2 linked regions of the Neodiprion lecontei genome follow. The protein of the gene in region 2 binds, or shares a complex with, the protein of the main gene of each other region. Links are inferred from orthologs where the notes say so. Each region holds a gene or a part of one and is shown on either strand. Other genes may lie near its edges.

The links.
Region 1: the proteins of protein catecholamines up (region 2) and protein-L-histidine N-pros-methyltransferase are in contact, whole or in part, in a crystal structure (PDB 8GZE), measured with the Homo sapiens proteins. The link is inferred for Neodiprion lecontei from reciprocal best matches to the Homo sapiens genes SLC39A7 and METTL9. Residues at the interface, in NP_001070984.1 of Homo sapiens: Gly65, His66, Thr67, His68, Glu69; in NP_057109.3 of Homo sapiens: Arg114, Thr115, Asn118, Arg123, Gly124, Met126, Met179, Asn210, Asp213, Arg214, Val241, His245, Tyr247, Glu249, Trp255, Tyr295, Leu296, Cys297, Glu298, Asp300, Tyr306, Val307, Leu308.

The regions. Positions count from the first base shown.
Region 1 is NC_060262.1:21,743,604-21,750,032, forward strand, and holds the start of protein-L-histidine N-pros-methyltransferase, read left to right. Parts: upstream 1-2,402; 5' UTR 2,403-2,579; coding exon 2,580-2,762; intron 2,763-6,429. UniProt on the Homo sapiens protein: Protein-histidine N-methyltransferase that specifically catalyzes 1-methylhistidine (pros-methylhistidine) methylation of target proteins.
Region 2 is NC_060261.1:35,214,298-35,220,501, forward strand, and holds protein catecholamines up, read right to left. Parts: upstream 3,345-6,204; 5' UTR 3,161-3,344; coding exon 2,177-3,160; intron 2,085-2,176; coding exon 2,009-2,084; intron 1,882-2,008; coding exon 1,706-1,881; 3' UTR 1,171-1,705; downstream 1-1,170. Other genes in the region: tetratricopeptide repeat protein 19 homolog, mitochondrial, read left to right, coding at 1-75, 156-355; kinesin-like protein KIF14, read left to right, coding at 3,963-4,066, 4,151-4,630, 4,695-5,232, 5,342-5,569, 6,164-6,204. UniProt on the Homo sapiens protein: Transports Zn(2+) from the endoplasmic reticulum (ER)/Golgi apparatus to the cytosol, playing an essential role in the regulation of cytosolic zinc levels.

The sequences.
Region 1 (6,429 bases), on a different chromosome or scaffold from region 2:
GAACGCATAATTGGTGCGTGAGAATTTCCCAGTATAATTTCTCACGCGCCTATACCTACCTACGTAATACCAACTGACCGACCGCCGAAAAAGCCTATACCTATGGAGAAATTACGATCGAATTTCTGAGTAATTACGCAGCATTCTTGAGTAATTATGAGAAGTTGTTTTTTAGTCCACGTCTGAAGCCAAGGGGAAGTACTTCGTACACTTCACCTCGGAAGCGTTCCTTCACCTCCTCGTCCCTCCTCACCCTCTCTCCTTTCGCTCTCTCTCCCTCGTCTCTTTCGGAGCGCAATGGAGGGGGCGAATCAAGGTCGTCCGTAAATTAACCCGCACGCGGTAGAATCCAGAATATAATACTCACTTATTTCTCGGAGTCGCCGCAGGTTCTACATAACCCACACGCGTCGTGCGCACGTACCTGGCGGCCTTTACGCCACCCGGTACATTTAACTGCCTCTCGAATGACGTTCGGGCGTATGTCTACGCTCGTTGCATGCTCTTATTTTCGAACGACGCCCAAGACGCCGACTGAAACAGTAGACGCCATCCCCTCGCCCATTGTTGGCCAATTTCACGCGGGCCAAGCCGTTAATTACCAAAGCGCAGCTTGTCCCCGTCCCCAAGGCGAGAGGACCCCTCTAGCCAAAACAACATCGCCGAGGCCTAACGCCCTTGTTTCGAACGAACCTCTCTTAGTTTCGCGCCACTTTTCGAATCTCCACTGAGAAAACAATTTATTTTGTTTCACCAAACGTATATTTGGATATGGCGAAATAAACGTTTAGTTATTATCATCAAATTTTAGTCGAGCCAAGTATGATTTTTAAACCATTAACAAGTTTCTATCGATCATTATTTGGCTCGACTGAAATTTGATAATAATAACGAAACATTTGTTTCCTCGTATCCAAGCATACGTTTTTCAACAGTGAATAATAAACTTTTTTCTCAGTGTCCTTGATTGACGAAACGGCTCATTTTGTCCGTTAATTCACTGACAAGAGAAATATCGAGTGAAAACAAACTGTATTCTACATAGAAAGTTTTGTGAGATCCAACGTGGTTTGATTATCCTCAATCCTAGCTATTATCGGTAATGCGAGGAGGAAAATTGGGGGTTAAAAAGTACAGACGATGAATTGAAAAAAATTTAATGGCCTCGCATCGCACGCGAGTCGGGAAAAAAGAACGAGTAAAAATGGAAAAATTTTTCCGGCTACCGTGAACTGCAATAAGGAAAGCATAAAACTTTCTCCCTCGTCCGCGGCACGCTCCCTCGGGATTTCGGTTAAAGGGGAGGCGACGCGTTGCACGGGAGCAGACGTCGTACCTTGGCTGATGACCTCGTTGAAAAATATTAATGGACCGCTTGAAAACACCTCAAGAAAAATTATGATGGAATTCAATATATGTACTGCGTAGTTAGAGGTATGCCTACTTTGAGAAACGCAAGACTGTTCCTCGACTTTTTAATAGTGATGCAAAATTATTTGATGATCTTAAGGTATCGATTATTGTGGCGTTAGATTAATCGATTATTATTCGAGTTTTCAGAAATTCGATTATTATCGAATCGATTCTTTTTCTATACGAATCGATTAGTTATGACGATGGGAGTCATTTAAGAACAATTTCCTGTAAAAATGTAATGTTATTTTCTCGTAATTCATGAAACAAAGTCATTTGCTATCATCATTTTCTGATTACGTGGAAAAAGTAGTAGAATACTTCAAAATAACGTTTATTTGTTGCCAACAATGGTACACTGAATAATAGTATTAACGCTGTCAATAAATAGCTCGTTTGTTTCAGTTAAATGTTTTGTCGATTATGAGGAACCGATGCTATTTCCATCCAATATATCGATTCGCAAAATCGGAGATATAAATATAATTGATCGATTTTCAGATCGGTTCTTTAATTTTCTCGCACCACTGCCTCTTGAGTCAGTGTTCAATTACAATTATTACATACAATTTCGATACAAGAAAAACTTGCGGCGAAAATATTCTTGTTTTACCCATTTTAACACCACTAATCTTAGCGTATCTCATAACATTTCCCAGCTCGTATCTGTAAGTACGACCAAGTATCTAATTGGGCCCTTAAGGTTTACCTTACAATTAATGTCGCAATGAAATTTCGGGACAAGTATAAAAAACGCGACTTTCTCCTTGTAAACGGCTTCTCAAAACCTCAAACAACGACACGATAGCTCGATCCGTCTTCACAAAGGTGCAAAAACGGGAATACAAAGCGAGTAACATCGTGTCGGTGCCGCGCGTGATTCAAACTCGGGAATCCTACAGCGGTCGGTAATGCACCGGACCCCTGGATTACCGACGGAGCATAAATCGCCGCGGCGCTGTGGGTGCAGGCTACAGCGTGAGATGGCGGTTAATCTGTCAACATGGCCACGTGCCGACGAGGAGAACGGTCTTCCGTAGAGTGATAGAACGCGGATCCGGCCCGTGTCCTTCGGTATTTAGATAAATCCGGATAAGCCAAGTCGCGGCCAGGATGGCCAGGTGCAGAGGGCGCGTGGACAGTGTCAGTACGGAGCCACCCCGCGAATGGGACACATTTACGCGATTCTACTAGCCTTGGCAGCCGCCCAAGGACCCACAGCCGCGTTGTCATCGGACCGAGGAAGCGGCGCAGTCATGAAGAGTTACCGACCCCGGGGCGGAATCGCGCGGATGATATACGACAAGCAGAAGGCGGACGAGCGACTTCGCGTCTACGACAAAACCCAGGTGAGGAGTCAAAACCGAGCGAACCGAGTAACCTCGGAATTTTAAGATGCCCCGTTCTTACGGAGGAACGATCGCAAAGCTTCGGAAATTCCCGTCCGTCTGCGCGTGCGCGCGCAGCCCCGCGCTTTCCTCGTAGAACCGAGTGGTTCGACTAGGTGTGAGATAGGGTCGATCGAATGTGTGCGTGAGCGTGCGTGTGTGTTCGTTCACAGCGTCCTGCGTCAACTGTCACAGGGCCGCAGGCGCGCTCCTGTAATCCAAATGTTTGAATTTCGAACACAATGAGTTGAATTATTCGCGCTCGATTTGTCGGGTGTTTCTCGGGGAAAGGATAATTTCGGCGGCTCGATTTCCGAATTCGACCGCGTGCGAACGAGACGTCGAATTCGCTGTGGCCGTGGGGAACGAGAGATGTTTGAGAGAAAAAAACGATAAAATAGAAGGAGAACAAAAAAGGAGTAAGAATAATAACAATGTCCGAAAGAGTCGAGGGCGCGCGTGCAGCGGTTGTTGGAGGAAAAGATTCGATTTTAAAAGAGGCGAGGATTTGCGAACGGCGAGGAGCCGGCGGGAAGGTGGAAGTTGGAAGGTGGAAGGTGGAATGGGGGGGCGGGGGGGGGAGGGAAGGAGGCACGCCGGTAATAATTAGTACAATTATCGTACAAGGCCAACCACCGGTTCCCCGACGCGGCGCGTCCTACGCCCTGCGTGAGGTTACGGATGTATGTATCCGCGGAGAAAGAGCAGGAGAGAAATAGCGAGAATGAGAATGAGAATAAGAATAAGAGGCGGCCGGGCTTACCTGCCTGTCTTGTGTGCCCTCCAGAGGCTCCGGAGCGGTAATTATGCGTAATTACGTCGTCGATATTCCTGAAACATCTCTCGCCGCTGCTTGCGCTGCGGGCCTCTCGGACTCCCAGCCTATTTATAATTACCCGCTGCAAGGCTTGGAGTAAAGACTTTCCAATTTGCACCGAGCCAAAGCTCTTGCACGTGTGGTGCGCTCCTCTATACGTAGAACGCGCGTTACCGACGCACCGAGGAAAGCCATTCTTCGATGAGGGAAATAAAGAGGGAAAAATCGAAATAGGAGAAAATTAGCGGGAGTCGGGGAATCGCGCGGCGGCCTCGATTGCAAACTGCAAAGTCTAACTAACCGTGACGGCTCCTTTGCTCGCGCGCCGTGTGTGCCTTGCCTTTCCTTGCCTTTCCTCGCCTTGCCTTATACAACCTTCCCGTATATAACGAAGCAGTTCACGCGAAAATACATCCCCCGCTGCACCGCCGGGCTACGGGTCGGTAGCAGCACATCACATCGCATCACATCAGATCGAGAAGAGAGCTTGCGCCTGCAAAGAATATCAAGTTTCTGATCGAGCCCCGGGCGAGGGATTCAGCGTCTCTGTGTCTCTGATGTAGACACTTGAGCTGTACCCGTTACCCGGGCTCGAATTGGGTCTCTGGGTGTATTTATCATTTCATTGGAACTCACGATCAGCGACATCCGGTCGCAGGAAATTTAAATGTCAGGATACCCGAATTCAATTTTATAAAAATACGTTTTTTTTTATCATGTTCTTCAACCGATGTGCGTAGCTTGCGCGGACTTTTCTGCTCCTATCGATACTCGCAAAATCCGGTTAAAAACACTGGACTATTTCGCAGATTTCTTACACTACAACGGCATTTGCATGGGGATATGCATCCATCTGCTTAAACGGTTCTTCATCGACGGAGTAAAAGAAAGAACAATTTTTAACTGGCTCTAATCGCGATATAAATTGACGATGCGGGGAATATTCTTCATCCCAAACTCCGATCGTGATAATTAGATATCTATATATATATATATATATGTATATATTCGATGTTTTATATTTACTTGGGATCCGGAGCTAACGACGATATAACACGCACTTTGCACCGTTTCGGGATTAGGCTAAACCCTTACTCGAGACCGTTACGGGTTAGACGTTCGATAAGCGGTAATTAATGATCATGCAGTAAAGCTGTCTGCTTGCTCGTTTCTCGATATATCCCGGTACAGAACGCTCCGACTTCTACGGGCCCCGATATTCACTCGTGTGTGTAAGTTTGTATTCTACGTACGTAAAAGCCCGTTGACACAATCTTGTATCACATTACGTGCTATCGGATACGAAGCATAATCGTAGTAGTATAATTTATTTTTGCCAATCGTATCAAAGAATTATCCGTCAATGTTTGCGGCTGGAAATGAAATCTTGCAGCTTTGCAAACTTTTTGACGCGTGCGTGTGGTGACAAGTTTATTTAAAAAAAAAAAAATTAAAAAAACACAACCACAGGGCCAATGATTTTTAAAATAGCAAAAAATATCCTTGAATTCTTGAGAAAAATACTGTTTATATCCGGTTTTGATTATGTAATTCAGTTTGAAGTTGCAACGATTCAAATATCCCCACCTCAAACCAAAACAAGTACTGTGAGTTGACATTGAACCTATTTGTACATCACGTGGTGTCCACCTTCTTGGATTTACACCTCTCACTGCGAAACTATCGTCAGAGCACCACGTGCAAAATTGCTTTTCCTAATACGTGTCTTTTATTTTCGTTTTCTTCCTATAGAATTTAACTTCGATAACGTGTAAAATAATTGACTAATCCGAAGATTCCGTTTTACATAATCAAATCAGAGATGTATAAAACATCAACTATGTGTGGTATCTTCAACAATATAATTACATGAATCTACGGTTCAACGAACCTGTCGCGATCACGGATACCATCGATTGATCTGCTTAGCTGGTAGTAAAAGATAAGTGAATAATTGTTAACAAAACAATTCAAGAAATTATAACGACAAAACTTCGATGAAAGAAATATAAATTGATACAAGAGACTATTTTAAAATGAATGAAGAAAAAGAGAATATTCAAAAAGGAATAAAGAATAGTTCGAGAAACAATTTTAATGAAAGAAAAACGATATGTATTTCCAATTTTAATCTGTTTCACCTGCTGATCGATAATTTACGTACTTTGTGAGCGAATGATTGAATGGATACACGAATGAATATATAGTACGTTTTTCGGTTATTGCTATAAATTTATATAACAGAAGTAAAAGGAATATTTACAATTTTCGTAATCTATTACATAAAATTTGTTCATAATTTATATTCAACATCTAAACCTATATTTACAAAATTCTTTGCCTACGATCATACACGTAATTTTCCAAGTCAATTTGATCGAGGAACGCATATTGCTGGGTAACCGAACCGTCTTTTTGGAATAAAAAAAAAAATTCCTAAACCTTGTCACGAATCAATTTTCGCCGCACACCGTAACCCGGATAAAAATCAGCATCGGCGAATCGAGGATGACGATTTTTCAGGAAATTCGGTTGGCTCGAGATGTGCTATATACTCGTATATATATCGGCGGGGCCCCGAGGAGCCTCGCCCGGATGCCCCAGTCTCGGGCTCGTCGCCTCGGTTCCCCCTGGAGCGCCATCCATCACTCACTTAATATTTCAGTGCGCCTCTGCCCCTTTTTAAAACCTTAAAACACCATGGTGTAGCGTTGCCGCGCACATGCACGCGTTCATCTTACACCCCCGCGTGTTTATGTGTAGGTACATGTATAACAACACACTTGTCCAACCTGAGAGCAAAGTTCTCTG
Region 2 (6,204 bases):
ATCTCGGCACAATAAGTTTCATGAAAGGAGATAACGATGGAGCGATCGATTACTTAACTAAAGCTACAGAAATTGGTGACTTACAGATTTTAATTAACGTTATGTTTTATGCTGAGCATTTGCACTCGTACTAATTTACCAATTTTACCAAACAGGAAAGGAATTACCAGAGATGGAAGAGCTTGGTTCAATTCATGTCAATCTGGGAAATGTTTTCATAAAAAAAGGTCTTTACGATGCAGCTAAAAAATCATGTCAGGAAGGCTGGAGATTATCAAAATCTCGGAAAAATAAAGAGTCTTTGGTAGAAGCAAACGATTGCCTGGATGAGATTAACAAACTACTTTCTTCTTAGATTCACATATGTAGCAAGAGTTTTATTAATATTTGTTATCTTGGTGAGTTGACTCTTTGTATTATTTTTTTGTGGCCTCATATTGAACATAATTGTACAGTCCGAGATTATTCAAAAATATGTGTCAAGTTTTTCAACATAGGTTCTAGTAATGAGTATTCTTTGGAACAGCACTATCAATTTTGTTTCAACTCTTTTATTTTAATAACTTTCGGTGCTTAAGTAATTAAGCTTCTACAACGGTTGAGTACTGTAGAAGCTACAAAGTCGATACGAGTTTAAAGTTTATAATGTCAATGCAATAATGTGTTTTTAGGATAAACAAACCGTTTTGTCACTACTTCAGGATTGTTTGAAATTCGGTAAACCATAATCAAGCAACTAGACACTCTGATATTTTGAAAATATAACTACGTATTGAAAAGTCATTTAGAAACTACAAAATAGTGATTTTTTTAAATTTTTCGTTATGTTAACATTACTAAATTCATCCTCGTAAGTTAATTGAATAATTATTAACATTTGGCACCTGATATATTTTTGGTCAGGTGTTTTGTTTTGACCTCAATGACACTCAATAACAGATAATATCAAATGCGCAATTATATGCACTAAAAATGCCACATTACAAGTAAATCATAAAATCTCAAGCACGTTTTACTTAGTTTGTGTACAATATGACTGAGTATTCCTATTTCTAAGTGATTAGTCTGAAATAAGTGTTTGAAAGGTACTTTACTGCAAAAGCATATTTCCAATTTAACGTGCGAATACTGAAACAATGATAGGTTTCATATAATTATTCAACATTAGTATATATTGTAGTTCAACTTTAATGTCGTGTGATGTATGCGTGAATATCCTCAAGTTAATAATGACTATAATAATTATTACAGCAACTGGATTGCACAGGAATTTGTTTTCACATCATAGCTAAATTACGTCTGAATCTACTTATAGTTATATAAAAATAAATTATACACGGTTGAAATCCGCGAGCTTTGCAACTACTCACATCTCTTGATACCGAACAAATCTCAACAATTTTACTCACATAATCTTCAAGAATTGTTCCCGATGTATAGCCATATATAAAAAAATGTGTAAAGTATGAAAAATATCAACAAAGAAAAATAATCTTTCTAGTAATGAAACTACAAAAAATCTTATGTAGCTAAATTATCTAAAAGTACATGCTGCTAGTCGAACAATCATGGTCACTAATTACATTACTCCGTTTACAATTATTAGCAGCTCAAAATGATATCGTGAAAAAAATATTTTCTACAATTTGCAAGAAAATTTTTCACAGATACATGTACTGCACACGGTCACTGTATCAATCACTATTCATTCATACTTTGCTATTTGCACCATTATAAAAACACCGAATAACAAGGCAATAATCTCCTTAATCGACTGCCAAAATTTGGTGTCAGATAAAAGTTCAGGAATTACAGACACAGTCGCAATGTATATGAAGCCACCAGCGGTGAACGGTAATATCCATGAAGTGGCGAAATCACCTGTAATCGCAGAATATCAAAACATCAGTGGCAGACACTTATAAAAATAACAGCTAATCTATCAATCTTAATGAGTTACAAACAAGAATCAGAGCTATGATAAATGTATAAAATTTTTCATTCTTACCCATTCCTTCAGCTAATAAGGACACGCATGTTCCTGTAACAGCTCCCAGCGCAGTGCTTAGCTGGAGCCAAATTGCCTGAAAAATGAACATTGAAATGATTGGAAGATACTTAACAAAATTTCGGGCTTGTATTCAGAACCAATGTGAATGATAAATACAAAGATCACCTTTTTTCTGCTAACTCCACTTTGAATGAGAATGGCAAAGTCTCCAATCTCATGAGGCACCTCATGAAACAGAATAGTTACTGTAGTGGTGATTCCGATTTTGTTACCAGCTAAGTAGCTCGCACCGATAGCGAGTCCGTCTGTAAAATTGTGTGTAAAATCAGCAGCCAAATTCAGATACCCAGCAATCTTGATGTCCTCGATGAGTTCAGTTTTCTTTACCAACGATTGGTTGTCATTGCCATCAGACTTGTCTTTGTCGGAAGCCTTAGTCTGCTTCTTTTCCTTGACAGGAACGGTATGACTATGGGAATGTGAATGATTTCCCTTGACTAAACGCACTCCTTTTTCTATCATAAGGAACGTTATTATTCCCAGTAAAACTGATAAGCCAACAGTCATATCATGCCCATGTTCATGTCCGTGTTCTCCTGGTGGTACATGGCTATGAGCGTGAGAATCGTCATGTGCATGAGAGTGGGGTTCAAGAGCATGTGGAATCAGATGTAAAAATGCATCACCCAGTAAACTCCCAGAGGCAAAGCTCAGGACCATTTTCAGCCAAGGTTCTTTCTCTTTACTGTTGTCCAATGGAACCAGAAACAGAATTAAGAACGGTGCAGCAGAGATCAAGAGGGTTGAACCGACAGCATTTATCCAGAGAGACGCCAAGTCTCGACCCTTAGGAGGGTCAGAGGTTCGAGAGTCTGCGGAAGCGTGGGCGTGATATTTTTCATGGTGGTGCTGGTGGTGATGATGATGATGATGAGGCTCGTGGTGATGATTGAGATCAGCGGATTCGTGAAACTTTTGGTTTGCCGTTTGGCTGTATTTGAAGCTTGGAGGTTCATCGTGTGAATGTCCGTGGCCCCCGCAGAGAGCCGGGAATCCGAAGAAAATTATCAGTATTAAAAGTGCTAGAGCAACTCGCGAAGTAAAGGCACGACTCAGGAACCTTTGTTCCGGTATCACTCGACCCGTCATCTTCGCAAGGCTGTCAGGTTATGAACAATTTTTGTTAATCGGTCATGGAGTATGAATCTATTTTTAACGTAAATGAATGTATGTGTATACACTATATTTTAACTTGAAACTTTAGTCAATGCTAATTTGATACTGTGAAAAATAACGATATGTGTTTATCAGTATTGTAGGCTAGATTCCAGCGCATGGCCAGTTAGCATGCAATATAAACGTGGCTTGTGCACTTCTATTGGCCAGCATTTACACAGCTGCCGGAGTTTGCCGGAGTTGTCATTCGTCGAAAGCGGTGACGTCAATCCGGCTTAAGCGCCTGCAAAGTGAGGCGGAGATCTCTACGAGCTTTCACGTATGTGAAGAAATTACAAGTGAGTCGCATTGCTTTTGGGAAGTAACCCCCGACTTTAGTGAGCCAATAAGATTAAACTTGTCGGCCTGAAAGCGAAAGCGTCTGTTTGTAATGTATTTGGGGCGTTAAAAACAATAAATAACGTTAAAAAAATACCGTATTTACGTTAGGAAAAGGTATTTAGGCTGTAAAAATCGTACGTATATTGAATGGTAGTGAACTTCACCTTTGATCGATCGAGTTTTGTGTGAAAACCGTTCTATTGTTATCCCGACACCCTGCACAACCGAGTTTTGTCAACGGTTTTTATTTATATTGTAGTTGCATGTGTTGAATATTCTATTTGTCAGCATACAAGTACAACATTAAACGTCATTGGAGACGGTAAACGTTGCTGAAAGTGAGAAACCTTCCCTGCATGCGGTCTAAATACTTTTGTACAAAATTATTTTCATCATGTCGCATAGAGGTGGAAATACTTCGAGCACACGATCTTTGAATGCTATTTTCTCGAGTGAGCCTATTAATTTTAATAAAGAAAATGCACCTCCAGTTAAAAAGTAAGTTTTCAGTAATAGATCAATCAATATTTATCGTTCTCAGTCACAAGGATTGTCTAAGTGACCTGACATTATTGTTCACAGAAAGTTCTTCGAAAGCCCTGAGACAACAGATGATTGTGTCTCTCACATTAGAACATCAAGCAATTCACGATTCAAATCAAATCTTATTCGTTCGAAATCTGTAACAATGCTGCAAAAAGAGGAGCCATCACTGTCTGCCAAATCGTCTTCTGAAGAGAGGCTTAAAACTCCAATGAGAATCACATCAAATCCGAGATTATCTGCAGACAGAACTCCTGTCACACATTTTTGCACACCCAAAAGAGTTACCGCTAATGAACGAGGATCCAAAACAAACATATTCTCCATAACAAGTAAAACACCTGTAAAACGTTACTTCAGTAATCATAATCCTCCAGCCGCGACTCCAGATTGCTTTAACCTCGTTCAAATGGAAACCCCAAGAACCCGGCAGGACCTGGGTGCTGATGAGCAGACAATGTGCGAAGGAGAACAGAGTAATCTAACTGTTGGAGTCAGGGTTAGGCCTTTGAATTTCAAGTAAGTATTTCTAACAATCTTTCGTCAAGTGACTAATGTAGAACTGAATTACTTGGCTTTACAGGGAACTGAACGACCAGCGAATAACAGCAATCGTCGAAGCTAATGGTCAAAACATAACTGTGGAGTGCGAATCTTCCAGGCATACATTTATGTATGATCATTGTTTTGTATCTTACGCCGATTCCTGCACGCCACAGCATGCCACCCAAGAGGTGGTGTTCAAGAACATGGTTCTACCACTGGTAGAGAATGCATTTGAGGGTTACAATGCATGTCTGTTTGCCTATGGGCAAACTGGATCTGGGAAAAGTTACAGTATGATGGGTACAGAGACGTGCGGGTCAGAGCTGGGCTCTGAAGCTGGTATAATACCGAGATTTTGTCATGAAATATTTTGCCGATCAATGAGGAACTCCAAAGTTGTAACAACGGTAGAAATTAGCTATTTTGAAATATACAACGAGAAGATTCACGACCTCCTTGGCGTCAATACCAGTGGGGGGAAACGCGCGCCATTGAAAGTCAGGGAACATCCAGTGTTTGGGCCCTATGTCGTAGATCTGAGTCAGCACGGTGTCAATAGTTACGAAGATCTGCAGGTTAGTTGTTTGAAAGAGAATTTAAAAAAAATGTAAATGACAACAATCTATTTCAAACTTGCCACTCTACTTACTTCTCTTTCACAACTTTTGTCCATAATTTTTTCAGGGCTGGCTGAAGGTCGGTAATTCTCAAAGAGCTACAGCTGCGACAGGAATGAATGAAAAGAGTTCGAGGTCCCACAGTATCTTCAGTGTGATTCTAACTCAGACACAAGTAGATGTTCCCTCTGGCAATCAGCCGGCGGAGCCGAGTCGTCGGAGTAAAATTAATCTTGTAGATCTGGCTGGGAGCGAGCGCCTAAGTCAGACGTGTGCCAGTGGAGATAGATTGCGCGTAAGCCTGAAATTTGCAGTCATTTATTTCTTACTGCTAATGCAAAATCTGTTGGTATGAGTAACAATGCTTGATCCTCCCTGAAACCCAAATAAATTGCTTTTGCTCAAGAGGTAGGTAGCAGTACATTAACTTCAGATGAAAATAGGTGTCACACACACTCCTAAATATCCTACAAGTGATAAACAATGAATGACCCCATAGATATTTAATATGTTTTTAAAGAGTCGCGAAATCGTTTGATATGCCAAGTTTTATCACTTGATTGACGAATGTCTTGGGGCACCTTCAAAAAATTATCTAATATATACGTAATATTTCCAACAATTCACATTTTGATGAATATGTATTTTGATGAAGATATTTTTCTTAATTTATTATCTGAACAGGCTTTTGCTTTAGTTACGATTACATACGGCATTGCAATTTTTTTTTTCAATTTGTGAACAACTTGTTCATTATACTCTGTTTGATTACTGTACTTGAACCAATTTTTCCTCCTATCGTTTATAATCTTTCTTGTTGTACTCTTAATTAAAAAAGTTTATTCAACCATCATTACATAATCAAATAATTGCTGGATCGAATTTACAGGAAGGAGTTTCTATTAACAAGTCGCTCCTAACCCTGGGAAA